4 linked regions of the Rhinolophus ferrumequinum genome follow. The protein of the gene in region 2 interacts with the protein of the main gene of each other region in a pairwise test. Links are inferred from orthologs where the notes say so. Each region holds a gene or a part of one and is shown on either strand. Other genes may lie near its edges. The genes, in order: MED4, KIFC3, ATF2 and STX11.

Region 1 (7,892 bases), on a different chromosome or scaffold from region 2:
AACAGCATGGCAGATAAGTCATGAGAAAAATCAGAAAAAGAAAAATGAACTTCTAAGACAATGGTTATTACCGAAGCCTACAGAAAGAAAGAAGCCTATCACCAATTTATCAATAGATTCAGTGAGGAAGACTACAAATAACAAATCGGTCTTTTCGGCATTCCTGGAAAGAGAGCAACAGAGGAATTACAGCTTCTTTTAGAGGAAGCAAAAGAGGACTCAGTACCTCAACTGTTCATGTACAACTGAAAAGCTGAAAGAGAAAGTTTCACAAATATTGAGGTTCTTCAGGAAAATTTAAATGATGATTCATTACTTCAGTGAATAAATACATTTCACACAGAAAATGCTATATACTTGATAATCAAGGAAAGAATCAAATACAAAGAGGAATAAACTGGTCAAATCTGGATATATGAGAATTTCAATTTAGTCTCAAATTTAACATAACATAAATTAGTTATGTTATCTCAAGTGGAGAGTACATGAATATCAATTATATGCACTCCTACACGTACCAACAGCATCTGGAAAACACACCTCAGATACACAGCCCACTGCCACAGCGATCCACAGGCAAGAACTCAAGATTGACCGCTGGGTTGTCTAAGGTCAGAAGAAATTCTCCAAGACCATTAGTCTGGTAAGTAGACTCAGAAACAATTCCTGAACTTAGTAAACATGAAATATAAAATACACTAGGGTTACTCAGAAAAACAGACCAACAAATTATATTACAGCAAGTAAAACTCAAAAATAAATCAATTTACTGGGCTCCAGAGCAGAAGGGTGAGACACTGAATATACTCAATGAATACGCTAAGGCAAAGATTTGAAATTCTAAGACTAAGAAGTACTCAGAACAAAAGGCAGCAGTCACTACTTCCCAAAGGGGGTGTCACGTCTTTATAAAGTCAACATATTTACAGAAAAATTAATCACTACCATCCATTCCATATGCTTGGTCAAAATGAATAAATAATAAGAAACATTTTAACTCAATTTCGTACGTGACAGTATCATCAAGATTCCTTTGCAAAGACGTTAGAAGCCAGTCAAGCATTAGACTTGGCCGTCAGGTGAGCAGTCTCCCCAAAGAAGATATAGCTCAACGGACCATTTCAAATAGAACACGATCCAGAATTTAAGGAAGTGGAAAAATCACCTCAAACAGGAGCAACAGAGGTATTTTCCAATTAATCATTAGTTGCTCTGAATCTAATGGAACACAAATTTACATCAGAATTACATGGCTGCCTATTCAAGGTACTTCAAAGTACTCAGAGACCCAGTTTGGATGACCAGTGATTCTAAAAGCAGGTAGGTTGAATGCATTGTTCTGCAAATGACAGTTGGCCCTATTTAGAAAAGTAGTGGGCTAGTCAGTGTGTATGGGATGTTAACTTGGTGTTTAAGAACTTAAAAAGAATAAGTCCTGAACGTGAACTAAATGAAGCTTCAACTAGCTGTCCCCAAGAGTCATGTTACACAGAGCAGAGACATAAATAATTGAACGAAAAACTTATCGTGAAAACGCTGTCTTGTTAGTGTCTTTTTACTAAGAAATCATGCTGGTATTCATTGACAGGATTAACTGAAAAAGGAAACTGACAAGGTTTCTGACAGGAACTACAAAACCAACAAAAACAGAAGAAAATAGCGTTTACATTCATCTGTGTAAACATTTACACAGAGGCAACACATTAAGGCAGCTGCCTTATGCCTCTGAGTTTCTTGTTCACTGTACTGACTGCTGGTTGTCTGTAGATTCCACGTGCTCTATTTGTAGTCAGGCAGCATTTGAGTCTAATAGTCTAAACAGTGGATTAAACCCATAAACTATTTAACTTCTGGTGTGTGTTTTTATTACATCACTTAATATCATGCTGACCTACTCATCTGGTAAGTAATGCATGCCATAGCAAGGACTAAATTCACAGCAGATAAAATGCTGACCATTAGTAGGGTCAGGTAACATAACTGTCCAAGAGTGTTGGCTACAGAAAAGATGACATTTAAACTGGATTCTGAAGGATGAATGAATGATTCATCAAGTTGGAGGTGGAGTGGGAATGGCACTAAAGATGAGGAAGTAGAACTTTAGAATAGAAAGCATTCACTGAGGCTGGAGTGAAGGGTAGGGAGGTCGGAGGGATGTGGATGTAAATGAGAACAAGAGGATGGATAAATTCAGAGGAAATGGAGAATGGCTTTATCCCACACTAAGCTAAAGAGTTTGGACTTTATCTCATCGGGCAATGGGAACCTACCAAATATTTTAAAGCAGAAAAGTAATTCGAGATGCCTCTTTAAAAGATAACCCTGTTCTTGGGCAAAATAGAATGATAACGTGAAGAAGACGCCCGTAGGCAACGCATTATTTAACAGTTAAGAATAGGATGTAAAACAGTGTGGATGAGAACAAGAGGTCCAATCTCAGCGACAGTTTAGGGGGAAGAACCCAAACAATTTTAACATCCAAGTGAATGTGAGGGAATTAAGGAAGCCTCCAACTTGACAGGCTATCATGAAAGATGACAGAATCCGGAGAATGACATCCAACTTCATCTCATACCTCTGCCATGCACACTGCACTCCAGCCGTCCCAAACCTGCCATTCCACCGCGTCGCGCGTGCTCAGGTTCCCAGGCCTTTGCTACCTGCCGCCTAGTGCATCTGGTGAACTCGTTCTTCCCAGGCAGTCCTTTCCCCAGGAAGCCTACTCTGATTACGACCAGGCCAGGCGCCTCGTCCCCCTGCTCTATTACAGTAGCGCGCAGCGCAAGCTTCTGATAAAAACCGGTTCCGCGCCTGTCATCTGTTTACACGTCTGTCCCCCTTGACAGCGAGTGGGCTCCTTCTCGCGGACATCTAGTCCCCCGCTCACTACCGTGTCCCTGCCCTTGACAGCCGGTAGTAGCTTTTTAAATGTTTCTAGAGTGTCCGTGGTCGAAGGGGCTCACACCAGGCGATCTCTATGGTCTGCTACGGTTCTGGCAGTCTTGGGGTTCCAGGGTCATTATTAAAACGTCCTCTGGCAGGGGGGTATGCGGGGGGGAGGGAATGCCGTCTGGAAGTCCCCGACGGCTGCGGACGCCACGTCCACGACAACCTCGCCGCTGTCTTTGGAAGTGAGCGCGGGGGTCACCCTCCCCGCGGAGCCCCTGGAACTAGCGCCAACCCTGAGGCAGGTCCTCAAGCGACGACATTACCTCGACAAGACCTCCAGATCTTCCAGCGCAGACAGCAGTCGCTCCCGCGTGCTGTTACCGCCCGCCGTTCCCGAGCTGCATCCCGGCCGCTCCTTCTCCTTCTCGCCGCTCGAAGACGCCGCCATGCTCCTCACGGGCACGCAGCCGGCGTCTGCGCAGCTGTGCGCTGGTGAGGAGAGGCGGGCTCGGGAGGCGGAAGGAAGCGTCACCGAGGAGGGGCAGAGAGGCCCGGTCACAGCGCCGCCTAGGGGCCTGGAGGTTCACTGCGGACGCCTGCGCCATCTGCTGGGCCAGAGAGGGCTTCTGCGATCCAACCCCAGCTGGCAGGCGCAACTGGGTCAGGTTCTACTGCACCTTCCATTCTGCAAGTTGGAATGGGAAGCTTCTGCTCAACGGATTTTAAGCTTTGAAGGAATTACGTAATGGCCTAACTCTTGTATCAGCTTCTTCGTGAAATGGGCGGGGTCTCATCAGTATTAAACTCTCTTTAGTTTTCATTTCCTTAACACTAATCCCACCCTACCGTTTGGCCTCTCAGGAGCTGTAAGCACCTTAGCACAGGAACCATAATCCATCTTTTTATTTTCCCCTGCTGTTTTTCTTTATTGTGGTAAAATACAGGTAACAAAATTTACAATGTTAACTGTATAAGTGCACATGTCAGTGATATTAAGTACATTCATATTGTTGTGCTACCATCACCACCATCCATCTCCAGAACTCTTTTCATCTTGTAAAACTGAAACCCTGTATTCATTAAACAACTCCCCATTCCTCCATACCCCTAGCGCCTGGGAAACACCATTCTACTTTCTTCCTCTGTGATTTTTGACTGCTCTAGGTATCCCATATAAATGGAATCATACAGTATTTGTCTTTTCATGACTGGCTTATTTCACTGAGCTTAATGTACTCTAGATTCATCCACATTGTAGCATATGTCAGAATTTCCTTCCTTTTTAAGGATAAATAATATTCCATTGTGTATATACACCACATTTTGCTCTGTTGCTGGACATTTGAGTTGCTTCCACATTTTCGTAATCCATCTTTATAATCATGTATCTCCCAACAAAATGTGTTGCTCATTGCTCAAGATGACTGTTGAACTGAATGAATCAACACAGTATGTAAGTGGTAGTTAATGAAAATAATTTAAATAATTGGTGTAGCACAAATTCCAAATCAGAACTGAGTATCAAAGCCAAAAATGTACCTTAGCCCACTTTTCTGGGGGAGAACAATGTAGTAGGGGACTTTCCTACCAGGAAAACCCAAAGCTATAACAGTATTGGGAATGGGAGTTCTGCATCGGGTCAAATTGCAGTTAGAAAAGATGAGATGGGGAGAGATCAGCTACAGACAACAGCTGGGAATGAGGCAGGAGTACGGTGGTCCCCTCATTCTAGCATCTTGTCCTCTGATCTGTCCTTCTGCTGGGTACCCAGAGCTGAGGATTCCCTCAGGGACTCATGCTAAATAAATTCATTCATAGCAACTGCTATATAATCCAGAATGCTGATTTATTCACTTACAATGAGCATGATTTTACTCATAGACAAACCTACACAGAAAGCCAAATTATCACCAAAGTGTTGCTTATAAACTTGGATCAGAACAAGTGAAGATAGATTTTTAAAAAAAGAATTAATGCAATCATCAGGATTTGCATCTTCATAGGGTAGGGATATTTGTTAAAGAGATTGGAATATTTGTGTTCATAGGTCAGGGTGCCTCCTCCCTGAGACAATGCAAAAGACTAGTGGACACTTTTGTTTTTTAACCATCCCCCACTTCTGCTCCTAACACCTTCTATTAATACAGTCTCAGGCAATGGAATAAATTAGATTTACCTTCTATTAATACAGTCTCAGGCAATGGAATAAATTAGACTTAAGCTTTCTTAGTTACAATTGTATTCTAAGCATGCCTCTCAGTAGCTCTAGTCAATAATATCTTATGTTACTTTTCCAAGGGCCTAAACTCCTGCCGTCTATGTGGGATTTGTTTACTCAACTCTCACAGGTTCACCTTGGGCCATAATTCTGGCAGGAAGAGAAGAGGCTCATATTAATGTAGCTTCCACATAAAAATTCTGGGAAGATTCTAATCAATTTAAAATGACCAATTATAGTCGCTACCTTACGGGCATTGAGGGGGTCAATGTACGGACACTATATGTGTTTTGTGAATTCTAGACCTCAAAGTTATTGCAAATTTATATGCACGTTGAATATTGTCTATAGACTGATAAAGTAATAGCATATCCTACAGATAAACTCTTCTGCAAACTGCAGATCTAGCTGTGATGAATAAAATATGAATTATTTATAATATAGTAATTAAATATGAATATTTTATATATTTTATTGTTATTATAATAACCAAATTCATGGTAACTTTGAGTGTATTTTCTCCATCTATAGATTCAAAAGGATAAGTACTACCTTCTTGTGAAATTTTATGTATTTAACCTGCTAGGCATAGTTCTTTCTAAGCACTTTAAAAAAAATGAACTCATTTCATTTTCATAACTCTCCCAGAGGTAAGTATTGTTATTATCTCTATGTTACAGATAATGAAGCTCGGAGGCTGAGACGTTAAGAGACTTTCCCAAGGTCCCACAGCTAGTAGGTGGCAAAACAGGGATTTAAACCCAGGGTCTCTCTCCAAGGTCTATGCTCTTAGCTACTGGTTATCCTGTCTCGTTTAAAGAAGGAAGTGTCTTCATTTACTGAAAAAAAGGTTGGGAACCTCTGGTCTAAAATATAAGCACTGTGAAATGCACAGTTTAGAATTCTGTGTAAAAAGCTACAAATGTTTGGTGTGGAGGTTTGAATGTGCAGCAAGAAACTCTACCAGGCCTGTTCCTAAGAGTCAGGAGAAGAGGTGGCTGCATATACTATGTCTTTTTTTTAAAGTCATTTTTTATTCTAATCAATATAGCACTCAAAGATAACTCAAAAGATAACAAAAATGTTCTCATTCTCCATTTCCCCAACCCCCATATCCTGTCATATCATTTTCCATAGCAGCAACCACATGCAACATTTTCAATTATTTCTTCTTTGCTTTGCTTCCATATTTTTACATAATATGCATATATTCTCTATGTCTATTGAACACTTTTAGAGATTTATTTCTGTCCCGGTATGATGAACAAAGATCTTATCTCTCTAACATATCCCATTCCCTTCCTCTATCCTCTCTATAGAAAAAATCCTTTTTTTTTTGTTAAATCCATAATCAATGCTTACATTATTGTACTCGTATTTACACATAACTATGTGATTGCCATTTGTTTGAGATGCCTAACCGACATCTCTGTAGAGATTTTAAAAATAAAATGGAATGGAACAGAAAATTTCTAAAACATCAAAGTGCATTATACTGCTTTGTAGACATTTTTTCAGTTATATATTTATGCATGTGTGTACTGAGACAAATATGAAATATATTTTTTACTGTGTATTAAAATAATCTGCAAGCATCAGAAAGTAGGAAGAATATCAACCCTAACTCTTAGAAAAACAACACTTTTTACGTGAAGGGCCCCAAAGGCAGAGTCTGTATAACTTGTATTGTGGGGGCAGAAAGTTAAAGCAAACCTGTACAAATACAGTGTTGCATTGAGGTGACTATCTGGGATGCCTTACATAGATGGATAGAGTTAGAGGCTAAATTGTATGCCGTCAAAATACTTACAGTGAAGTGCTAACCCTCAGGACTTCAGAATGTGACTGTATTTGGAGGTAGGGCCTTCAAAGAAGTGATTAAGTTAAGTAATAATAGCCTGAGGGCGGGCTCTGATCCAATCCCACTGATACCATTATAAGAAGAGGAGATTTGGACAGAAGATTTGAACACACTGAGGGATGTGGGCACACAGAGAAAATACCATGTGAGGATGCAGTGAGAAGGTGACCGTCTGCAAGCCAAGGAGAAAAGTCTCAGAAGAAACCAACCCAACACCTTGATTTTGGGCTTACAGCCTCTAGGACTGTGAGAAAATAAAGGTCTGTTGTTTAAACCACCCAGTCTCTGGTTTTTTATGTCAGCCCTAGCCAACTAATATGGAGGGGTTGTAAGTCAAAGGGTATTTGGAGATTTCTAAAATTGCCTTGCATAAATCTTTGACTTCCTTGCCCCTGTCTTGATTTGTCCTACTCTCTTGGCAAGATGACACCCTAGACTGAATGCAGCTTGCTTACTACATACCACATGCCTGTACAAATGCAACTGAAAATGGCTGCAGGAAAACACAAGCAAGTCAACTGGTTATACTTGAAATTCGTAACTCCAAACCCCAAACCCGCAGTGGGCCCTTGACGCTACTGGACAAACTGTATATCCTTGTTTAGACCCTCTTCACATTGTTGACCCAATTTCACACCATTTCCTTTCTCCAAACCACTCCTAACCACTCTCAACTTATAAGATCTTGCTTTCTAATTCACTGAGAAAAGAGGAGAAATCAGAAGAGAGGACTCGTACAGATTGCCACCACCACCACGTTTGCCCACGCATCAGCATTGCACCCACAGTTCTGCCAGCTACTGCGCATGAACTTCACCTGGCCAGAGTACATTCTCCCATAGTTCCATTCCCTTGCAAAGACACTGAACCAGCAGTTCACCCCATTTCCCATCTTACCAAGTTTTCATCCTCTACTCCTTCTCA
Region 2 (8,108 bases):
AAGACCCGGACTTCTCTCCTGACCATGGACATCCACCAAGAATCCTTTCCCATCCTTAAGCCAATGAACATTCTGCTTGGTCTCTGGCCAGACTTCCCGCTCTTTACACTCCTTCCCAAAAATACAGCCCACCCCCAAACCCTCAACAGACTCCCCTATAGCTTGCTACATGTGTTTCCCGAATTTCAATTCCTCTGCTATTCCTGAATAAACTCAATTTCTGGTCTTTCGAGTCTGCCTCAGTTTATCTCTTTATTTGGGTTGACATCCCCACACCCTCATTGTCCTTTTCTCAAGCTGGCTCCTGTCCATCCTCAGGTCTTAAAGATGTCAGTTCCTCAGAGAGGCCTTCCCTGACCACCCCCAGCCTCCCATCACCTGCCCTCTTTCTGTATTTTATTGTTATCATGACTCTTATCACAGTCTGAAATTATCTTGTTTTCTGTCTGCCTCCCCTGCCAGGTGTGCAAGCTCCAAGACAGAGAATCGTGTTGGCCTATTCACATCCTGGAAAAGGGCCTGGTACAGAGCAAACATTCAATACATATTTGTTGAGTGAAGAAATCAATCAATCAAGCAGAGATAGATAATGAACTTGTAAATAATTAATGCAATCCAGAGCAGCAAAGTGGGAATCACTCAAAAACTAATCTCAGGCTCTGCCATTTTATCAACAATAAGTACAACAACAACAATAGCAATAAAAAAAAATCAATAATAATTCAATAATTATATTTTATAATCCAATTCAATAAAACAGTTTCAACAACACAAATAACTCGGGTATTGATTCAAAGCGCTTGGCATTTACTATCTCTTCTCAACCTCATGACAATCCAATGAGACATAGTCTGTTATCCCCATTTTAATGGGTCCAAAAACTGAGGTATAGCAGATGTTTTGTGACTTGCCCAAGGTCACAGAGCCAGTTTGGGGCAGAGTCAGGATCCTAACAGGAGGCCACACAACTGTATTCAAATTCCTCTAAAGAAACATTATAGAGCTGGTGAAAGAAAGGTTTTCAAAAACAGATTACCTCACAGGCACATTGGGAGGGTTCAGATAAAAGGGTTTTGGATTCATTCTGAACTACTTGAAAGAGATCCCACCACAGTATAGTCGGAATGTGAACATAAACAACCATTTATTGAGCGCTCACTGTCAACCAGGCCCAGGGTTATGCACTTTACATGCATTATTATCCCCAGTTTACAGATGAGGAAACTGAGGTACAGAGCAACTGAGTAACTTCTTCAAAGTCCCCTGGCCAGGAAGTATTCATCTCAGCTGTGGCTGCACAGATATTCATCACAGGAAAAACCTAGCACTCAGTTAGATCTGGTCATTTGCCAGGAGCTTCTGAGAGTATAGAAGATACTAGAAATGCCTAAATCTGGCAACTTTCAGACATGTTTACAAGACTTGAAGAAAAAACTCCATACTTCATCCTGGAGAAGTTTCTTTCCTTTATCTAAAGGCACTGTGAACTGTGACCCTCCTTGGCAAGGTCTGCTCCTTACCTGTAAGCCATGGACCGTTGTCTCTGAGACCAGGATGCTTCCTGGGGAAGGGGCTTGGAGTTTGGCAGGACCAGATCCATTGGAGGTGCCGGGGCCAAGCCAGTGCCAGCCCCAGGTCTCCTCCTGGCCTGCACTGGGGGGTCTTTCCCATTCTCCCCTTCGTCCCCTCCACAGAGCCCAACTCTTCAAGCTCAGCTGGAGCAGGGCTGGAACCAGGAACATGGCAGCCACGGGCTGGCTCATGCTGTCAGGTTGTGGGAACAGAATCTTCCAAACTGGGGCCTGCAATGGCCTGTGCCCTGGAATTTTCTGCTTGGTTCACCAATTCCTAGCTGGACCAGCAGTGGCTTTGGTTTTGAACAAGGCCGGCATTCAGTCTTTAGTCCAGCAATTAAAAGGCTTTGAGGACAGGATCTCCTTTAGTTTCCAGGGCATGACCCGGGTCACAGGCAACACAAGCAAAGGTCTTCAAATATTGTCCTCTGAGTTTTCTAGCCAGTGTGTCTCCGCTGCAGTCAATACGGTCTTGAGAAGAATTCGAATTGTTATAGCAGGGGAGGCAAAAATAAAGTTAATGAGTCTCCTGACATTCAAGTGGCAGCTCAAGATATCCACAGTTGAACCTCTCCCCAAATTTTTCACCCCTCCCCAAATCCCGCGTCTCCCCCAGCCTTCCCACCCCAGCTAATAGCAACAGCACCCTTCTTGTGACTCAAGCGGAAACTGCAGGCATCCTTGTCTCTTTCTTTCACACGCCACGTCCTACCAGTGACAAGTCTGCCTGGCTCCACCTTCGAATAGCATCTGGAATCTGACCACTTCTTCCCACCCCCACTGCGCCCACCATTTCTGCCGGGATGCCTCCAGGAGGTTCCCCCTGGTCTCCCACTTCCAGCCCTTTATTCACTATCATCACTTCTCAACTCAGCAGCCAGAAAGTCCTCTTAAAATTAAAGTCGAACCATGTCAATCTCCTGCTTAGAACCTTCGATGGTTCCCATTGTCGCTCTGAGAAAAAGCCCAAGTCTGACAGCGGCCCTTCAGGACTCGCAGCTGCAAACCTCCCGTTACTTTCTATTCTTCCACTCTGCTCCTGAAATCCACCAGGCACCCTAAAGCCCTTTGCACAGGTTGTTCCCCTTTATCTGGATGCTCTTTCCCCAGATATCCACGTGGCTCCCTCCGTCCCTGCCTCCCCACCTGCTCAGGCATCTTTTCCACAAAGAGGCTCACCCCTCATCTTCCACCTCCACTCCCCAACCCACACCCTGCTCTGGTTTTCCTTTCTTCCTTCATTGCCTTTAACACCTGTGACATGTGAATGATGTACTTATTTGTTGTGCCTGTGTGAAGGGGAGAAAACCTACAAGGTGTACTTTTGTTTGCCAGGATCTCTCAGGCAGCTGTATGGAGCCCGGCATGTGGAAGGGGCTCAGTGAAGATTTGTGAAATGAAGGCGAGTCCCTGCGAGGCACGGAATTTCTATTGAAGAAACATGAGAAAGGGAAGAGAGGAAACGTTTGAACTTTCTGGCCCCTTGGGGAGATGAGATGGGGGAGAGAGTGTCGGAGGCGGGGCTGGAGACCATGTAGGTGCCCCCCTCCAGCCACTTGTAAGCCTCTGCCTACCCCCCCAACCCACCCACTGGGTTCTCAGCTGTCCTGAGAGCACTGTGACATTCCCGGCCCCAGACCCGAAATCGGACTGGAAGAAGCAGACAGCTGAAGGACACGTCTTTCCCTACCTGTGGCCTTTGTGACCTTGCAGTGACCTCCAACGTGGGCGAGGGGCCCCAGGCACTCCACTTTCTACATATAAATACTGATGGCTGAAGAAAGCGAATAGTAGAAAGTGATCCTAATAGAAGTGGCCTTGCTGCAGATGCTAGAAGGCAGTGTCCTGCTGGGAAACCTGGACACCCGGGCAGAGAGGATGGCCCAGTGCAGCCCCCACAAGTGCAAATTCCCTCGTCAAATCATCCAGGCCCCGATTCTTTAATGAATCTGGTCACAGACAGCCCGTCCTGCCTCCCCTGTCTCCCTCTCCATCTGGGTGTTAACGAGAAAAGCAGATTAGAAATGTCAATCCCGGGGCTGGTTCAGAGCTGCAGCACTGTCCACATTCGTTCCATTCCGACAGGTCCAATTTCCTTCCCCAAACAAACACTTGGGAATTGGGTTTTGAGAAACCTTCTACTTATATGAATTTCATGAGCTTGACTATGACCTGGAGTAACTCTTTTATGAGCAAAACAAAGATATGACCAATAAAAAGGAATTTGTTTTCCTTTGTAATTTCAAATAGAGTCTGTGTGTGTCAAACACACATGGGGCCGTCCAGTTTTTTGTTAGAAGCAGGAAAGGCAAGTCCGATAAGGTAATTTGCAGGTGCTACTGTGAGTATCTAAGAGAACATTAAGACTTTGTTTCCTTCATCTCATTGTTCGAGAGTATATACTTTCAGATTCCATGCAGAGGCTAGAAGAATCCTTTGCAAAACAATTTAAAAATACGCTGAAAAATTATTGTCGGAGCAACTCTGTTGTTAATTAAAAAATAAATCAGAAGCCAAAGTTTTATTACCACGTCATCCTTTTATATCTAATGCCTCGAAATTGCCGTACATTTTGGGGAGTCTACTAAAGCGATTAGCTCGTTTTATCCACATGGGTGTTCACGTTATTATGGTGCCCTTGGGAAGTAAGAGTGTCCCAGAATCATTGTAATTTAGTCATTGTTTTCTTTAGTATAAAGAAAGCCAAGTTGAACAAGGAGTGATTCAGCTGACTGAAGAAGGACCACACAGAGAGCTGAAATTCAGGGCCAGACGAAGATGCCCTATGAATCTCATTTTCAGTTCTGTGTGCAGACCACTAACGCGTCTCTCTCACGAAACAGAAGCCCTGAGAATGACTACATAGTATTTTTAACAAAAACATTTACCATGTCTGAGGACTTTATGCTTGTGATACCTTCACGCAGCAGCTTTGAAGAAAAACAGCAGAGGTTAGGCACGCCTTTTCAAGGTCAAATTCTATTAGAAGAAAAAAATCTAAAGACCTAGATTCCCTGGAGGCAGCCACGTTAAACTTGTTTTGTTTTCAAGGCAGGAAATATTCACATAAAATTACACTTTGTGAGAGGATGTCTATGATGATTTAAGTTTTGTCTCTCTTCTTCTCCCCTCCACAAAAGATGAATCCTAGAATCCTAAAAATGTTCTCCCCTTAGCTGTCATGGTAAGTAACCTACTTCGTTGTTGCTCTTGAACCAGCAGAAAACAACAGCACTGAGTGATCAGATGGTACAGGGATTAGCAGAGAGGCTAGAAGTAAGCTTTAGAGGTTTATATCTACAGTACGAACTTGGGTCCCACTGCTAGAGACAAAAAAGGAAAAAAAACACAAAAAAACCCTTAACCAATTCAAGGTAACGACAGTAACAGTTTCTCGATAATTGGTGATCTCATTTGAAAGGGTCAGTTGTAAATAAGCACAGCAATGAAACCCAGTGTTCACTCATCAATTTATTCTCTACAGATCAGTTTAATTGAGATAAATTACCTCGTAGACAATGACAATACCGACTTACTTACACAGATAAGTAAGATCTGTGAGATCAATTGAGATAAACTCTGCGGGTGTGTATCCGTGGAGGCATTTACTTTCTCATTTCTGATGGAATGATTTTCAGGCACGTAAAGTGCTCAGTGAATGCATGATGGCAGTTCTCCAAGGATCCGAGTCAGTATAGTTTTTTAAACTACAGAATTAGTGCCCTTTGTTTTATGAAGGGAAGGACATAAACTCCCTGCTGCTAGAATAAAAGAGGTGAGCAGAGGTGTTTAGAATGAGTGTTGAATGTTCTTCACAGCATGATGTTAAAATTCAAAAGATTTCCAGTGGGTCACTCTTGTTTGTAATGGGACATTTCTTAAAGGGGGGAAATTTTATTAAAATGGGGAGAGATAAACTACATTTTCTCTTTCACTTAGTGGTGGGAATCTCTGAGTAAAACACACTGTAAAAATACCTGGACATACCTGAGATACATGATTGCGTTCGGCACCCAGCAAAACATTTTCAATCTAGAAATTCACGTGCTTCAGGTGTTGGGACTTTCTTGTGTTATTTCTTTGATTTTTTTTTTTTCTCCCTTCCATTTTCTTGGTTCTCTCCAGAATTCTTTTGGGTCCATTTTGGGAATTCCTGATTTGATTCTACCTTGCTTTTCTCTTCCATTTCTCATATCTATCTTTTTGTTCTAGCTCCAAGAAATTTCCTCAGCTTTATCTTCCAACCCACCTATTGATTTCCCCTCTCACATGATATTTTTAATTCCCCAGAGATTTTTCTTGTTTCCTGACTATTCATTTATCAATAGAATTTCAAGGGTACAATTGCATTTTGTCTCTCTGGGACTATTAATTATGGAGTTTGTTTTTTTCCCTTCTCTCTTTTGCTGCTTTAATTGTTTGTTTTCTCTCTCTCTCTTTTTTTCCTGTTTGTTTCGGTATCTACTTTTAAGTTAGAGACTTCATGTTAGATTATTCTTGACTTTCTGTTCATATTTAAGGATGGGACACTACAAAGTCAATTGGAAGTGTAAGTGTGGGTAGAGCTCATGATTGAAGAACTTCCTGTCGGGTGGTAGAGTGGGGACCAGGATCTTTCATTGGAAGGCCTTCATTGTCAATTTTATTAGGTCTTTTCTCTTGAGCTGGTCAGTTTCCCCAGAAGTGAATCATCCCATCTCCTGTCTAAGTTGGGTACAATCCTGGCTGCCAATATTCCGAGACCTAAGAGAGGAAAGGAGGCTGGAGGTCTCATTGTTCAAAATCAAATTTTCATTTAATTCCTGTTTTGGGTTTGGTGTCTCATCAGCCCACTCCCTTTTCTAAGTCCAGATTCTTTGACATCTTTGTCTGCTGTTGTTTCCTCTTCTATTATCTTCATTCTTACAGGTTTTTACTTTTTCATTCCTTTACAGTCATTTCATTTGGGTTCAGGGATGGATGAAAATAAATGCATATGCTCAAGCCTCCATGCTTAACTAGAAATATTACACATTCATATTTTGCTTCAAGAGGTTTCATGCTAAGTACATTTATATTATGAGTGATAACTGCTCCATAAGCTCCAATGATCCCAACTGGGGTAGAGTGAAGGAACCTATATGATGAAAAAATTTCTACATTCTACTTGAAGTGGTGGTGTATCAACTATAAGTTATCTGTGAAAAGTTAGATATGTAAATTGTAATTCCTAGAGCAACTTAAAAAACTTCTTTGTAGACTATTTCTTTGTATGGAATAGCTAGAAAATGTTTTGTATAGAACTAAAAGTAGTATGTTCTAGTATATAAGTAAAAAAAAAAATTTGTATAGAAAAGCTATTCAAAGAAATAAAATAAAAAAGCCAACAGATAAATTAAAGTGGTATACTAAAAATGTCCAAATAACCTAAAAGAAAGCAAGAAAGGGCAAATAGAGAAACAAAAAAATGGAGGGGACAAACAGAAAACAAATAAATGATTGACCTAAATTCAAACATATTAATAATTACATTAAGTATAAGTAGTCTAAATATACCAATTAAAAGACAGAAATTTCTAAATTGGACTTTTAAAAAAGGCCCAACTATATGCCACCAATAAGAAATTCACTTTACATATAATGGTATAGATGTGTTAAAAGCATGAGTGTGGAAAAGTATATACCATGCAAACAAAAAGCTGGAGTGGCTGTATTATTCTCAGACAAAGTAAATTACAAAGCTAGGAAACTACTATGGATAAAGAAAGACATTACATAATGATAAGGGAGCCAATTTACCAAAAGGACATAACAATCTTAAATATATATGCACCTAACAACACTGCTTCACAATACATGCAGCAAAAACTGATAGCACTAAAAGGAGAAAATGGACAAATCCACAACTATAGTTGGATACTTCAACTTTCCTCTCTCAGTAATTGATAGAACAAGTAGGCAGAAAATCATCAAGGATACAGAATTAAACACCACCATTAACCAATTGAATCTAATTGACATTTATGGACTATTTCATCCAATAACAACAGAATGAATATTCTTTTCAAGCACACATAGAACATTCACCAAGATAGACCGTATTCTGGGCCATACAACATACGTATCAAATTTAAAAGAATTTAAATCTCAAATATATGGTGATGGAAGGAGAACTGACTTTGGGTGGTGAACACACAATGGGATTTATAGATGATGTAATACAGAATTGTACACCTGAAATCTCTGTAACTTTACTGACAATTGTCACCCCAATAAACTTTAATTAAAAAAAAAGAATTTAAGTCATTTAAACTATGTTCTCTGACCATAAAACAATTAAACTAGAAATCAATAGAAAAATATCTGGAAAAATCTGCAAGTACTTGGAAATTACACAATACATTTCTAAATAATCCATGAATCAAAATGGAAGCCTCAATAGAAATTAGGAAATATTTTAAACTGAATGAAAATGAAAATACAATATGTGAAAATCCGTGGGATGGAGATACGAAGTGTTTAGAGGAAAATTTATAGCATTAAATTTATGCTTAT
Region 3 (7,618 bases), on a different chromosome or scaffold from region 2:
TTTGCTAATTACAATCATTCCCACTCTGTCTTTCCCCACTAATCTTGTTGAGAATCGCTGTGGTAATAAGCTATTACTACTGTAGGGAGTGCTTTCTATTCCTTGGGTATTAAGACAGAGAAAATGGTTGAGAACCTCTCTATCTTTAAGATACAGAATACAGACATGGGTGAATGGGACTTGCCCCAAAAGTATTGTTTATTTACATCCCTTCTTACTGCAAAAAAGAAAAGTTTTTAATCACTTTACTACCACTGTCCAAAATGTCAAGGAAAAAAAGCATCACTAAATGTACTTAAAAATGTAAACGAATATACCAGTTTCAAGGTTAACAGAATAAATGAAAATAGTATATATAATATACAGAGGATGCCAAAAAAATGTATACAGAAAGGAAAAAACTGTACTAAAATTACACTGACGGTAACCACTTTGAGCACCTCTTGTAACTGCGGAAGTCAAATGTGACTTGTATTCATCTTTTGTTATCGGTATATATTGAGTATTACAATTTTAATACAGTATTTTTCTTTCTTAAAATGTGTATAATTTTTGGAACCCTCTGTATATGTATTTATAATTATTAATTATAACATATGACATATTTATAATAATATATGTAAAATAATTCCAATTATTGTTGGCCTTAAAGATCCACAAACTTTCTTAAATGCCCATGAAACTATACCTTATACTAACTTTTTAACCGTTAGCTCAAGAAAGAGAACAAAAGAAATAACATGTTTTGTGGTGTTTTTCCCTAGAAATAGGTAAATACTATCACTATTACCTCACCAATAAAAACTACATTAAGAGAACATGTAGCATCTTAGGTAAATTAGTTAGCCTCAAGGAATAGGTGTGAGTATAGGATAAACACAGAAATACTAAGTTAAACTACTGAGTATAGCAATGCAAATTTATAGCTTCTTTTTTTAAAGTACATTTTAATTACAGAGAATAGATAACAAGTACTACATGCATTGATTTCTATAAGGATGAACTGAATTTCCAATTGTTGTTATTGGGTTTTAAACGAGGTTTGATTATTTGCCTAAGCTGATACAGATAATAAGATCCAGAGTTGATCTAACATGATCTAACAATTTTAATACCAGCAGAGAACATATAAATCATTAAAACCCAACTTTTCCAAATTACAAAAATTTAGGTAGAAAAAATGTAATGATTTCTTGAGACGTAATACTAGTTACAAGTAGCAGACATTCGATGCATAGCATATAATTTTTTGATATTCATAGCTTCAAAATAGTGAATATCAAAAACAATCATCCCTGCATGTTATTTGTTAAAAGAGCTGACATAATAACCATTTCTACTTTTACCTTAGTTGAAAAATATGAAACAAAAACTCCAACTAAAAAAAGTAAATACAGGGATTTCTGGAATACATATTTAATAGAACAGAACATAGTGCCCCAAATATGAAATATTCTAATAAGGTATTTATAAAAGAACTTTCAGGAAATGCAATCAGATCTACAGAAGGCATTATGTACCTTAAAAACACACAAAAAAGTCCCTGAAAGCTCCTTTCTTACTGACAATTCAAACACAAACAACCAAATTCTAAATTACCACATTATATTTCAAATAATTTAAAACGTAATGGCAGTAGCATCTTCTCAAAGATTAAACATGTTTCAGGAAAGCAGCATACACACCACTGTAAATTTGCAAGATTCCTATAAATTACAAAGACTAGGATTGTTAATTGTTAATGATTGATGGCCTTAAAGATCTATGAACTTCCTTTATTCTGTTACTTGATCTTCAGAAAGACATCTTTTTTTATAATACATACTTTATATCAATATTCCTGCAATTTTGAAAAGTGTACAGTGGATTCCTCAAGTCAGTGTAGCAAATTGAATTAGGAGACATAACTGCTACTATATGTGTCATTAGGGCACTTAATCCTGTAGGGTTGACTTTTTAACAAGCTACTCACCTTCATAGCTTTGTTACAATGGACTAAGAATACATGGTTATTTAAAGATTATGCCTAGAAAGGCTATTACTGACAATGCCAGTGGTTATGAATTTCTTCACATAGGACAAAAAGTGTGCTCAGAGAACAGTTTTGTTCTGATTTCAAATACATACATTAAATTTATGCATTGTTACCGGTTCCATAATTTAAAATTCCTAAGAAATTGTAGCTTTCACATTATAATTTAGGGATTACTCAATAGGCCTAAGGTCCATCAGGAGTTATCACTTTTATGCCATCGTATTCACTGTAGTTTTGTTCTTGGCCTCACCAGTTTTAAGACTCCCCATTAAGCAAAGACAGTTTTATACTACCTAAGGGCACAAAAGTAGTCCCAGGTCTTTCACCCTCACCCGCCTTCCAGCGTCGGTTCAATGAGCGAACACAGAACTCTCTCTCTCTGGCCCTTCGGGCATTGATAAAAAGCACAGGTTATTTCCCACCAGCAGCTCTGCAGTGCACCCAAGGAGGTAAAATATGGGGGAAAACACAAGAATCAATCTGCACCCACACTCAGCCCCGCCCCAGCGGGAAAAAGTGGGGGGTGGCGGGGGCAGCAGGGACAGGAAAGGCCGAGACTTCCAAGTCCCAGGTTCTCCATACCATTTGTTCTATCGTTTCACCGCAGCCAGAGAGACCCTGACCCTATTTTCAGCCGCGCCTCCCTACCCACCTGCCCGCCACCATCACAAACACAGTCCCCAACCACTGAGTCCTGGGTGGGGAGACCAGAGCCAGCCCTCTTCCAGGGTAGAAGCGGTCTCCCCGAGCCCTGGGCGCATCCGACGTGTGGCCCAGGGCCCTCTAAACTGACCAGAGAAGATAAACCGGGGGGAGGGGTCTCAGAGCCGTTATTCCTTTTTCCTCTTCGTTAGGAAAGCGTGCGAGCGGGGAGGGGCCGGAACAACGAACACCGGTTACCTAACGGTCCGGCCCGGCCGGTCGGGCTCGGGCAGCAGACGCCGCGCGGCGGCCGAGGCGGCAGCACAGCCACAGTGGCCGGGAGGCTAGGAACCGAGGCAGGAGCGCCCGAGGTGATGGGGAGCGGGGGGTGGAGACTATGGTGAGCAACGTCGCCATGTTAGTGCCTTCTTTCTCCGTATCCCTACAGTGTCTAGTCCTGTGGCCCTCTCCCCATCATTACTCACCTTTCCAGGTCACTCATTCATGCTTCTTTCGGTCGCCAGCGAGGCCTGAGCTCAACCGTGTTTACAAACTACCCCTGGAGGAAAGGGCTGAACGGCACTTTAAAGGCCACGGGCTCCCACAGGCTTCCGTCCTCTCTCGCGAGATCGGATTGACAAGCCTTCTCCCCGCCCCACTCCCGGCATTCCCCCCCTTTCTTCTCGTGCCCCTCCCCTCCACGCTCACGCCCCTTCTTCTCTTCTTTCAGACCGAGCGCCTCGGGGTCAGGTGATGCCGTCAGACCTGAGGGGAAGGAGGCGGGACTTCAGGAAGGCGGGGATGGAGGAGGCGGAACCAAAGACACTCAGTAGCTGATGATTGGACAAAGCGCCCGGAGGGCGGGCAGCAGTTCTGGAGGGGGCGAGACCACAGAGCCAATGGAGGTGTCTCGGTAGCCCGGCCCTGCGGAAGCCTGTGATTGGCAGCCGGCTGGGTGTGGGACATTGGGGCAGGTGGAGGGTGAGGTCACGGGAAGAGTTTGACGGTGTGCAGAGAGGCAAGGTGAACTCTGGAAAGGCTGTGAGTGGCAGAGAGAGCGCGGGCTGAGTCCCCCGAGCCCAGCCCCGGGAGCCCGGTATTTCCGTTGCTGTCACTTCCTGGCCCTGGGTGGGAAGAAGGTAAAGCATAGGGAGGCGCGCGCCTAAACCCGTCTTCCGGTACCCTGAAGCCTGAGAGGGGGAGTCAGGATTACGCTGAGGTTTGGGAGGGGCGGAGTTTGCCGGGAAAAAACCCGCAAACCAGCTACAAGCTTGAAGCGGGAAAGCAAGTATGTCAGTTCTAGAAAGAAAAGAAAAAAACCTTTACTCTGAATGGCGTTCGAATTTCCCTAAGCTATAACTCTAGAAGTGATTCTTTCAGCTCCTAAGCACCTACAGCCTTTCCCTGAAAATAAGACCTAGCTGGACATTCAGCTCTAATGCGTCTTTTGGAGCAAAAATTAATATAAGACCGGGGTCTTATGTTAGATAGGACAGGGTCTTATGTTAGATAAGACTGGGTCACATAGTAAAATAAGACCGGGTTTTATATTAATTTTTGCTCCAAAAGACGCATTTAGAGCTGATTGTCCGGCTAGGTCTTATTTTCGGGGAAATGTGGTAGTAGTGTAGTGTATGTATGATGTTAGCATATAATTATGTTCGAAGTAATTTACCAAAAGGAAATAGAATGCCTTTTACTGTACCACTAATTTAAAACAGTGCAAGAACTTGTTTATAAGAAAAGTCTCCCATATTACGGTGTATCCCATTTTATTAATTTCCTTTACTTAGCAGATATAGATAAAATTTATCAATTTAGTAGAGATAATTTCAGATCTTTAAAACATCAACAACTCTATTTTAGAGAGACCCAAAGGACACCAAATTAGAATATGGCATAGAGATGGCACTCTTTCCACAATACTATCCCACTGCTTAATAGGTGGCTGCAATGCCAAAGAAATGTCTGTCAAGCTTTGAAAGTAGCTGTTTAAGAAGAGGAGAGGGGCAGATCACTTGATTAATTTAACGTGAGAGACAAAAGAGACCATATTTACTTCTCTGCCATCACTGTCACAGATAAACTCCTAAAAACACAGAAGTACAATGCTGAAAATATTTCTTAATGTTCTATGATTCTCTATACAACTTAAATATTTAAATGTTAACTTTAGGGATATTGATTGTTCAATAAATGCATACTGGCACAAATTGAAAAATATGACCAGGGCCCCTGTGAAATTTCCATTAACTACTTTTTAAAAAAGCAAGTTATTTTCACTTTCTTGTTTTCCATTGGTAGGTGCTGATTTCTAGTCTTCAAAAAAATTATGAGTAAATTTTAAGTATTAACATAAAATGCACTCACAAACATCTCTAAACCAAAGTGAAACCGAAATTGTTGGAAGATTGTGGGAGATAGTATTTGAGAGTTAATGAACCTGCAGTTCCGTAATGGTATTTGGCATAAAAGTGAAATTGTAACGGCACTGGGTCTTTAACAGGTTTCTGGCCTGTATACATGTACAAGAGCCAACTCACTTTTAAAACTAATTTCATTAAAAGAGACCAGAAAGAAGCCAGGTTATTAACACTGTTTACTTCTCAAATTAAATGAAAGTACCCTCCCTATATAGTAGCAATAACATTGTAGTAGAGTTAGTGTGTAGTGTAATACTGATGATGAACATCTAATGGACAAAATGTGCAACTAACAAATCACAACTTCTTACGTCTAGAATACATTATTACCTAATGTGTTGCTACTTCTCTCCATCTCCCAAATTGTCTAATGTGAGAAGAAAAAAACTATAAATGCTACGGCATTTTTTTTTTATGCTATGGCATTTTAAAAGAAGTTTGCATCGATTAGAGTAGTTTTTTAAACTATTATTTTTCATTCACATATCAAAAATTTGAAATTCTTTTCTCCAATTTTGATTTGTTTTCAGTTGACAGGTTCGGTTTTAAATTTTTCTTTGTCCCTATTTCTCCAGTCTAAGTAATTATCTACATAATGCACTAGAGCAGGGGTGTCCAAACTGTGGCCCGCAGGCCAACTGCAGCCCACGATCCATTTTTTATTGTCCCGCAGCAAATTCCAAAAATATGTTTAGTTTACTTAAATAAACCAGGTGAGGCAACACGTACTTCACCTCGAGTGAGTGGCCCGGCTGTTTGTGTATTTTACCGCATATGGCCCTGGGTGAAAAACGTTTAAAAAAGGTTGGATACCCCTGTACTAGAGGTACATGTTATTTTAAAGAAAGTCTTTCAGGAGTCCTCTTAGACAAGAGAAGAATCATTTAGTAATACAAATAGTACTCTTATTTGCTGTGAGAATGCCATTTTAAGCTAATTTTCTAAAGAGAAGGTATAAAGTGAGATAAAATTAAAGGAGATCAGGGAGAAAACGGGTGGGAAGGATGCAAATCTGTTCTGTATGCATGTTGACAGCCTGGCGGTTAGCAAAGGCTCTCACTTTACCAGCTCCACAGCAGTTCATTTACTATAGCTTTTCTATAAGTGGAGAACATTGGTGTAGACAAAATGAATATAATTATTTTTGGTTCTGGTCCTGTGAATGTGTAAGTCTCATATTTATCCATATCCTTATAAAATACTTTCTTTATATTTCAGTTTTTTTCACACTTCCTCATTCCTCAGTATTCCCCAAAAGCCCTAATGGTCTTTCCAATCTTTTCTTTACGAATGCAGGAAGCTTCTTCTGGACCCATTTTTTGCCTGCCTTATTATTCCATGCATGCGTCTACCCAGCTTACTCCTAGGAAAATTAGTAAGGATCTGGTAAACCTCCTTTAAGAACTCAGGATAAAACTGGCATCCTTTATTACAAGAACAGGTTATGAGAAGAAAACTTGTTTCTATTGCAAAATACCCATTACTAAATACCACACAAATAAAATAGTGGCCTCTAAATGCTCTCAAAACTTTCCAAGTGCTACATATGTGTATTTCCACCTCGTTTAGAAGTATTATGTGGTTGTTAAGCCATTTTATAGTATTGCTTATAAGAATTCTACTAAAACCTTGCTCAAATTAGATAGATAAGGAGGGAAGATTTAATTTATAAAACATAGCTTCTGTTTGTCTATAGCTAAACAAAACATAACATACTCCAGGATATCCCTTATATCTGCCTTGGACTCAGGGAAAGAGCCTCTGCATTTTCCCAGGTATCCACAAGACGCTGCCCAGGACAGTGCATTAGCTGGGATTTTGCCAGTGAACTCACTAGGGTGTGTGGTGTGTGATGTGTGTGTGTGTGTGTGTGTGTGTTACAAAAGGCGTGGAAGAAGCAGAGCATGATTATCCACCTACCTGATACCAGAGAGAGGAGGACAGCATGGCCTTAGACATTTTAGTTGATTTTTAGGGTAGCTTCTATCTCATGGCAGGTCTTCTTTCCCCATCTCTGACAGCCCAGGGTGCACGTTGCCGCAATGACCTGTTATAGTTACCTGCCAGGGCCTATCCTCACTATGGAAATGTCGATTCAGAACATTTCACTGCAGGGAGGACCATGTCCACCTCCCACCTCCAATCTTTGGTTTCTCAAAATAATGTATTTATTGTGTGTGGCATTGTGGGGAAATAAATGAGAGGGCTGTGTTTATCTTCAAATCATACCAATTAGTTTATACCAGCTTCAGTGAGACCAGCCCAAGGACAGAGAATGCAATTTAAGGGCCTTATTTTCATCTTTCATACCAATACCTTCAACCAATCTTTCATCCCACTCACTAGAAAGAAGGCTTTTCATTATATTCTGCTTTCCAATAAAAGTAGATAGAATCTCTCCTAGGGTAAATAATTTTGTCTGGCATTCCAGTATCTACCCTTCACGGCTAATCTGTTTGTCAACCTGAGGCCCACATAATACAAAAGCCATGAATTCCTAATGCCAGAAACCAAGGAG
Region 4 (8,333 bases), on a different chromosome or scaffold from region 2:
CTGAGACAGCATTTTTAGAGGGTGACACCCAGGTATAATGAAATATAGGAATATGTATCTAGCACTAATACCGTTTTAAAGGATTTTTCTTTTTTACAGAACATGGATTTCAAGCTATTGTTTGAGCAGTGGCTTAAACCTTAATTCCTATTTGGAGCTTGTCTGGTGCATGTTTATAAAGCTACAACTCTGTTTTATAAACAGGTGCCACCAGGAATTGTCATAACCAGAAAATTTAAGTTCTAGATTTTTATATCTCCAGCATATGTGCAGATCTCTTCTGTTTGCCTCTTTAGATCCACTTTCTGCTTTGCTCCATCCTACTCTCGACCCTGGGAGGTTGATCTGAATGGACTTTGGAAACAGGCTCCTAGGCCTTTAGACTTCTTTTGGGCTTGACCAATAGGGAACTCGAGCAGGAGAGCAAAAGCAGGGGATGAGGTCAAGGCATTTATTCCGAACAGAAAGCCTGTCTGTGTCCCTCTTATTTAAGGTGGTCTGTTCTACACGATTCCTCTCCTTCCTGGTTCTGAATACCTCTCCCCATTCATGAGTCTCAGGCCTGGGGTATGCCAGCCCAGGGGTCCCTTATGGTTCCCACCCTGTTTGCATCTTTATAATAGTACCCTTATTAATAAACCTTCCTTGAATTGTTCTAATTTGAATGTGCTATCAGTTTTAGGTTGAGATCCTAACTGACACAGTATCCTTAATTAGTAGGTAAAGGACAGTGTCCAAATCCTATTCTGAAAATTTTATACCTATAGTCTTTATAAAAAGTGTTCCTTGATGATAATATCATCTCCTGAATTCAATCCACTAGTTAGCTGTATGAAGAAATCATGTTGTATGTCATCTGATATAAATTTTTTTCAGATGTACTCAGGCTAGAAAAAATATTCTCAGATTCACAGGCAAATCTTCTTGCATATAGCTTCTCTACATAACGTGTAATCTTTGGAGATATAAAACTAAGACTCTATAAAGTATATAGGTTAACTTTTAAGGGTTTAAATAGTTTGATATCTAATAATATTTAAATTCCCTCTAAATGTGTGAGGAAATCTGTACCTCAGTACTGCAAACAAGCCATCATTACTCAATCCACCCAGCTTACCGGAGAACAGTTTCTAACCCTGTGCTTAGACTGCAAGATTGTGTCCCCCTCAAATTTATATTTTAAAACCTGATCCCTGATGTGATATTAGGAAGTGGTGCCTCGGGGTGATTAAGTCATAAGGATGGAGCCCTGAAGAATGGGATGAGTGTCCCTGTAAAAGAGACCCTAGACAGCTCCCTCACCCCTTCTGAGATGTGAGGGCAGTGAGAAGACGGCCAATGACCAGGAAGTGGGCCCCCCCCCAACACACACACACACACACACACACACACACACGCGCGCGCGGAGTCGGCCAGGGCCTTCATCTTGGACTTCCCAACCTCTAGAACTGTGAGAAGTAAATTTCTGTTAGAAGTTCTGTGAGAAGTTTGTAAGCTGCTCGGTTAGATATTTTTGTTACAGCATAGCCCAAATGAACTAAGACACCTTTGAAGCTCAGGATTTCAATGTACAATTATTAGCAAACATCAGATCATTAAAAAATATAAACCCCAGAAAGCTAATACCAATGTTAAAGATAACCAACACTTATTGTTCGGTTATAATGTGCTAAGCACTGTTTTGACGTTTTCATATATTATTTCATTTAATTCTCATCAGAAATGTATGAGGTGTTCATAATTCAGCCCCATATGACAGAGGAGGAAATCCGTCCTGTCCACTCCCCCAACCGCAGCAAGCAAAGGATCCTGGATTCAAATCCTAGTGTCTGACACAACAGTCCAAGTTCTTAAACACCAATAAAGATTCCAAGAACAACATCAAAGACCACAGAAGAACCAAAAAATGAGAACTTTTCAAAGCAAATGATTTCTTCTATCCTGTTACCTACACTCAAAGAGCAATGTCAAAATCTAGGTAAGCTTAGAAAAATTACTCTAAAAGAAAAAAGAATGCAACACATAACTCTCATAGAAAAGCAAATTTTTTTGTTGTTCAATAAGCTTATTTTTCTGTGCATGGTATACAAGGAGGGGTAGAAATCAAGTGGTGAACATTGTATGATTTTGGTATTAAATTTTTTTCCTGCCTATAATTCCTGAAATGATACTGTTGCATTCTTATTTTAACCCAAATGGCAATTAAGTGAAAACTTTCCTCTTACATATTGGCATATACTGACCTGAAGTTTAGCATGTACTGGGTAATTTATGTATACAAATAGAATACTTTCTGTAAAAGAGATTGGGCCGAAACAACCTGATCTAGAGATAGTAGAATTGATCTGCTTAATAGCTCTTAAGGGAAACCAATTTTTCTGCAACTGTGATTTTGCATAACAAGTTGCAAAAGTATTTTAAGATGAGACTCTTACTCAATACTCACTTCTCGTAAACCCTTTTTTGCACCATGGCCCTGTCCTGCGGAACTGATAAAAGTGAAACAAGAGCATCAACAGAAGGTAACCAATAAGCCGTGCCTGTCACAGATAATAGTTTAGTCATAAGCCTTTAAATATTGGGTTTGAATTTGAATCATTAATTTAGTTCTCAGCAAGTGTAATTTTCACAAAGAAGCTAAACAGTTTTACATCCATATGATTTGTGCTATCTGTTTAGAAACTATGTATTTCTACTCCCAAAATCCTTACTTTGGGGCTGAGACACGATTTTCTTTTCGTTTTCCTCTTCATCCATTTCATCCCCTTGCTGCAGCTCCATGTCTTTTCTTTATCTGTCTTCCTTTTCCCTTTTCAAAGGGATGGGTTTCTTCGTTAAATACAGTCTATAATTTCTGTGAGTTTGTGGACCACAGCCAGCTTCCCTCCGTGACCCTAAAGAAAACTTAAAAATACAATATTGGCACCACAAAAAACAAGCATGTTTCAAATGATGACTACGTGCTTTAAGATGAACTTACTAAAGGTAACCGTGAAAACAGATTGCAATCTGAGCAGTGAACTCACACATTCAATGCACACATTCAACAAAGTCTTTCCTTGAGCATACCTGCCTTTGGGATGATGATGTTGTTGAGACCTTGGAGAAGCTGACAGATGTTCCTCTCCTTTCGCCGCTCTTTACTTGTGTCCCCTGAGCATGAGGAGGAATCTTTGCCTGACACAGCCTTGCATCATTAGCTCTGGATGTTGAAAGCAGGCCACTCCAGCTGATTTCTTTAAACCGTATTTTCTATAAGTTGGTGATGCGCAAAGGAGAGTTATGAAACAGGAACTTTTGCCACAACACTACATCCCTAGTCACAAGGAAACATTTACAAAATAAATGCTCCTACAAATCAGAATTGATTACAATGCAAATGTCAGTGGGGGACATAATCTATTCACACCTTATTTCTTTCATGGTCCTAGTACATCATCTCTCCAACTTCGATAATGAGCGGACCCCTCTTCAGGGAAAAGAATATATGGCACCCAGGATTGACAAATTATTTCTACTCTAATGTTACCTGAATATAATATATATACAATGTTATTTACATAGACGTGGTATAAATGTCTATGACTACAGAATATAAAATCCAAACCAATCTACACATTAAAAATATAAAATCAAAAATATTAAAATAAACATGGATTTAATGTTGTTTTGATGAAGTAAAACGAAAAATCTTTAGTTTTTTTTAAATAGAAAAGTGCATTGGGGTTTTTTGTATTTCATTGATTAGCTATATTATTCTCTTTATTTTGAGGATAACAGATACTCATTTAAATGATCCTCATCATACTATGACTTTTTCTTTTAAATATATATTCACCTCGAATCATCAATCCTTGGATTTTTTTTTCAGCTTTATTGAGGTATACTTGACAAATAAAATTGTAAGATGTTTGAAATGTGTAAAGTGTGCGACGATGTATGTATACACTGTGAAAAGAGTCCCACCATCTAATTAACATATCCATCACCTCCCATATTTATCTTCTTTTGTGTGTGAGAACATTTAAGCTTTGCTCTAGTAGCAAATTTCAATTATATTATACAGTGTTAACTATGGTCAGTATGTTTACATTAGATCCTCAGACCTTATTCATCTCATAGCTGAACACTTGTACGTTTTTACCAACCTCTTCTTATTTCCCCCACCCCACCTCCTGGCAGTCAGTTTTCAACTGTTTCTATGAGTTTGACTTTTTCTTTCAAGTCCATATATAAGTGATACCATGCAGTATTTGTCTTTCTCTCTCGGGCTTATTTCACTTAGCATAATGTCCTCCGATTCCATCCATGTTGTTGCAAATGGTAGGATTTGCTTTTTTCTCATGGCTGAATAATATTCATATATATATATATTTACATATATATATATATCAAAAAAATGTATACACATTTTAAGAAAGGAAAAAAACTATTAAAATAGTATATACTGATAACAAAAGATAAATACAAGTCACGTTTGACTGCTGCAATTACAAGAGGTGCTCAAAGTGATTACCATCAGCATCCAGACACTTCTGATTATGACGAACTACTTCTTGTGCAACATTGACCAAGTGTCCACTTGTGTACATTTTTTTGACAACCCTGTTATATATAGAGAGAGTGCCAAAAAATGTATACACGTTTTATGAAAAGAAAAAACTATATTAAAATTACTCTGATATATATATATACCGTGTTTCCCCAAAAATAAGACCTAACTGAAAAATAAGCCCTAGCATGATTTTTCAGGATGACACCCCCTGAACATAGCCCTAATGTGTCATGGAGCAAAAATTAATATAAGATCCGGTCTTATTTTCAGGGAAACATGGTGTGTATGTATATATATATATATATATATATATATATATATATATATATATATGTAGTAATATATATATACATATGTGTATATATATACACACACATATATATTATGTGTATACATATATATGTATATACATATAATGTGTATATATTATATGGACATTTAGGTTGTTTCCATATCTTAGCTATTGTGAATAATGCTTCAATGAACACGGGAGAGCATATATCTTTTCAAGTTACTGTTTTCATTTTCTTCACATAAATACCCACAAGTAGAACTTTTGGGTCATAAGGTAGTTCTAGTTTTAATTTTTTGAGGTACCTCATACTGTTTTCCATAGTGACTGCACCAATTTACATTCCCACCAACAGCGCACAAGGGTTCCCTTTTCTCCACATTAATGGCCAACACCTATTATCACTTGTCTTTTTGATGATGGCCATTCTAACAGGTGTGAGGTGATATTTCATTGAAGTTCTGTTTGTATTTCCCTGATGATTAGCGATGTTGAGAGCACCTTTTCATGTACCTGTTGGGCATTTCTACATCTTCTTTAGTGTGAATGAAGAAGGGGCCACATGCTAAACCGACAAGCTCAGGGGAGGTCAGCATGGTGAGTCCTACAAACTCAGAGACTGAAATTAACTATATAGGATGGTCTGGACATAAAAATTCCTAACTAAAAGCGGGTCATGGCAGGTTGTCACATCCTTGGCCTGTCGCTTCCTTCGCAGGTCAATCTTGACCTTAAGTGAGCCTGTCTGTTGTCTTTTTTGCATCTAAAATAACATACCCTTGGAATGTCAGAGTAATCCCTTTTTTTCCAGACCCCTCAGGACACAGCCAACTTCACCACAGCCAACTGGGCTCTAATAAACTCATTAAAATTCTCTACAGGTTTGGACGTTTCTTATGTCAACATTAGGAAATGTCTGTTCAGTTCCTCTGCCCATTTTTTAATCGGATTGGTTTTTTGTTGTTGTTTTGTTTTTTTGATTGTTTGTTTGTTTTGCTATTGAGTTGTATGAGTTCTTCCTATATTTTGGATATTCACTCCCTATCAGATATAGAATTTGCAAATATTTTCTCCCATTCTATAGGTTGTCTTTATGTTTTGTTGATGGTTTTTTTTTGAAGTGCTAAAACTTTTTAGTTCGATGTAGTCCCACTTGTTTATTTTTTCTTTTGTTGTTTTTGCTTTTGGTGTCAAATCAAAAAAATTATTGTAAAGACCAATATGAAGATTACCCCCTGTGTTTTCTTCTAGGAGTTTATGGTTTCAGATTTTATGTTCAAGTATTTAACCCATTTAGAGTTGATTTTGGGGCATGGTGTAATATAGAGCTTCAGTTTCATTGTTTTGCATGTGGCTGTCCAGTTTTCCCAACACCACTTATTGAAGAGACTATCCTTTCCTCATTGTATATTCTTGACTTGTTCTAAATTATTTGATCATAGATGCATATGTATATTTCTCAGCTCTCTGTTCTGTTCCATTGATGTATGTGTCTGTTTTTATGCCAATACCGTATGTTTTGATTACTACAGCTGTGTGAAATAGTTTGAAATCAGGACATGTGATGCCTCCAGCTTTGTTCTGTCTCAAGATTTCTTTAGCTATTTGAGGTCTTTTTGTGGTTTCATACACATTTTGGAATTATTTGTTCTATTTTTGTGTAATATGTTGTTTTCGCTTACTTAAGATTCTCTCTGTCTTTAACTTTTGACAGTTTAATTATAATGTGTCTCAGTGTGGTTCTCTTTGGATTCAGCCTGGTCCTGTTACTGTAGGCAGAAAGAACTAGGCAGAAAGAGCAGTGTGTGGGGAGAGAAGGGTGAGACAAAGGAAGGAGGAAATGAGGTCATTCTTAAGAAAAGGTGCAGCTACAGCTAAAGGTAACAGATTACAATAACATTAGCATTGCAGGCCGGGAAAATTCTCCACCCCTGTGTCGCCATGAAAGTTCCCACAAGAGCCAGTAAAAACAAGGGAATCCCACCTCCCAACAGGAAGGAGTGGTCAGCAAGGATAGCAGGGACCCACCCTGGGAATACCTATGACACCAGCCCTAAAACTTGAATAGTTCATACTCTCATTCAAATACAACCCTAAGCCTCTTTGTTCTTTGGTGCAGTTGCCCTCCTCCTGGCTGGCCCACTTCCATTATTTTGGGGAGTGTACTCTTTTTCTTTACTTCAATAAATCCACTGCTTGCTTGGCTTTGTTCTCACGACTCATTCGATTAGTCCTTGAATTCCTTTCTGGGATGATACAAGAACCCTTTTTTTTGGTAACATATGGTTATAATGAGTCAGTAATTTTAAAACTCTCCGTATAATAAAATACCAACATATAAGTCTAATGTAATGAAAATGTCTTTAATGAATATTTATGATTATATTTAGTGCTAATGAATTGAAATACTGTATGTGATACTACATACACACATGAATGTGGTAGTAACTTTGAAGGTACAGATGGAAAACGCACAGGGTGAGCCCCGTTCGTCCCAGCTTATTGCTTTGAGAGAGTTTCCAGCACATGGCACGGAAAAGAAGAAACCAGGCAGATTCCCTGAGTTAAGGAGATGAAGATAAATGTCCAGGGAGATGAAGGTGATTAAAATTCGTAGGAAAGAAAGAGAGAGAGAGAGAGAGAGAGAGAGAGAGAGAGAGAGAGACCCCAGGAGATCTGCTCCAAGGAGTCACAGAGATTTCTCAGTGCATGCATGTGAGAAAACTACCTGGAGCTGGAGCAAAGACACCTAAAAAGATTGGAAGGAGCAGTAACTTTCGCTCACACAGGCCATAAATAATGCCTATTCCCACTAGCCATACAGGAAAAGCCTCATAATTCACTGGGTAGCGTGGTTGGAAGAGTTTTGCCTCAGCAGGATAAAACTGTTTTTCAACTAATTTAACAGAACAAAGTTCAAGAATACTTATGGAAAAACAAAAACATTTAGCACCCAACAAGGTATAATACACAATCTATGGCATCCGCTCAAAAATTACCAGGCATGTTAAAGAGCAGGAAAATTCAACACATAATACGGAGAAAAACAACCAATCAGAACTGACAAAATGTTAGGATTAGCAGGCAAGGATATTAAAACAGTTATTATAACTGAATTCATATGTTCAAAAAGTTGAGACATAGAAAATATGAAAAAGACCTAAACGAACTTCTGTAGATAAAAGATACAGTGTCTGAGATTAAAAATACACTAGTCGAATTAATGGCAGATTAGACATGCAGAAGGAAAGATTAGTGAGTTTGAAGGCAGAGCAATAAAACTAGCCAGAATCACACATAGAAAGAAATAAAAAATTAATTAACAATACAGCAATGAGCTTTGATAAAACTTCAACTGACTATACTCGTATAACAGCCCTTGAAAGCAGACTGTGATAAGTTAATGAGGTATACTAGAAACCCAAAAGCAATTAAAATGACAAAACAGAGTTATAACTAACATGCCAGCGAAGAAGGGAAGAAAAT

What was found.
Region 1: the proteins of KIFC3 (region 2) and MED4 interact in binary tests that used the Homo sapiens proteins (3 or more experiments, as listed by UniProt). The two-hybrid records come from large-scale screens. The link is inferred for Rhinolophus ferrumequinum from reciprocal best matches to the Homo sapiens genes KIFC3 and MED4.
Region 3: the proteins of KIFC3 (region 2) and ATF2 interact in binary tests that used the Homo sapiens proteins (3 or more experiments, as listed by UniProt). The two-hybrid records come from large-scale screens. The link is inferred for Rhinolophus ferrumequinum from reciprocal best matches to the Homo sapiens genes KIFC3 and ATF2.
Region 4: the proteins of KIFC3 (region 2) and STX11 interact in binary tests that used the Homo sapiens proteins (3 or more experiments, as listed by UniProt). The link is inferred for Rhinolophus ferrumequinum from reciprocal best matches to the Homo sapiens genes KIFC3 and STX11.

The regions. Positions count from the first base shown.
Region 1 is NC_046287.1:89,287,972-89,295,863, reverse strand, and holds the start of MED4 (mediator of RNA polymerase II transcription subunit 4), read right to left. Parts: upstream 3,409-7,892; 5' UTR 3,338-3,408; coding exon 3,213-3,337; intron 1-3,212. UniProt on the Homo sapiens protein: Component of the Mediator complex, a coactivator involved in the regulated transcription of nearly all RNA polymerase II-dependent genes.
Region 2 is NC_046298.1:10,368,155-10,376,262, forward strand, and holds the start of KIFC3 (kinesin-like protein KIFC3), read right to left. Parts: upstream 3,407-8,108; 5' UTR 3,265-3,406; intron 2,046-3,264; 5' UTR 1,764-2,045; coding exon 1,521-1,763; intron 1-1,520. UniProt on the Homo sapiens protein: Minus-end microtubule-dependent motor protein. Involved in apically targeted transport. Required for zonula adherens maintenance.
Region 3 is NC_046291.1:50,154,773-50,162,390, reverse strand, and holds the start of ATF2 (cyclic AMP-dependent transcription factor ATF-2), read right to left. Parts: upstream 3,317-7,618; 5' UTR 3,163-3,316; intron 1-3,162. UniProt on the Homo sapiens protein: Transcriptional activator which regulates the transcription of various genes, including those involved in anti-apoptosis, cell growth, and DNA damage response.
Region 4 is NC_046286.1:88,728,896-88,737,228, reverse strand, and holds the start of STX11 (syntaxin-11), read right to left. Parts: upstream 3,257-8,333; 5' UTR 3,070-3,256; intron 2,905-3,069; exon of another isoform or gene 2,895-2,904; 5' UTR 2,782-2,894; coding exon 2,712-2,781; intron 1-2,711. UniProt on the Homo sapiens protein: SNARE that acts to regulate protein transport between late endosomes and the trans-Golgi network.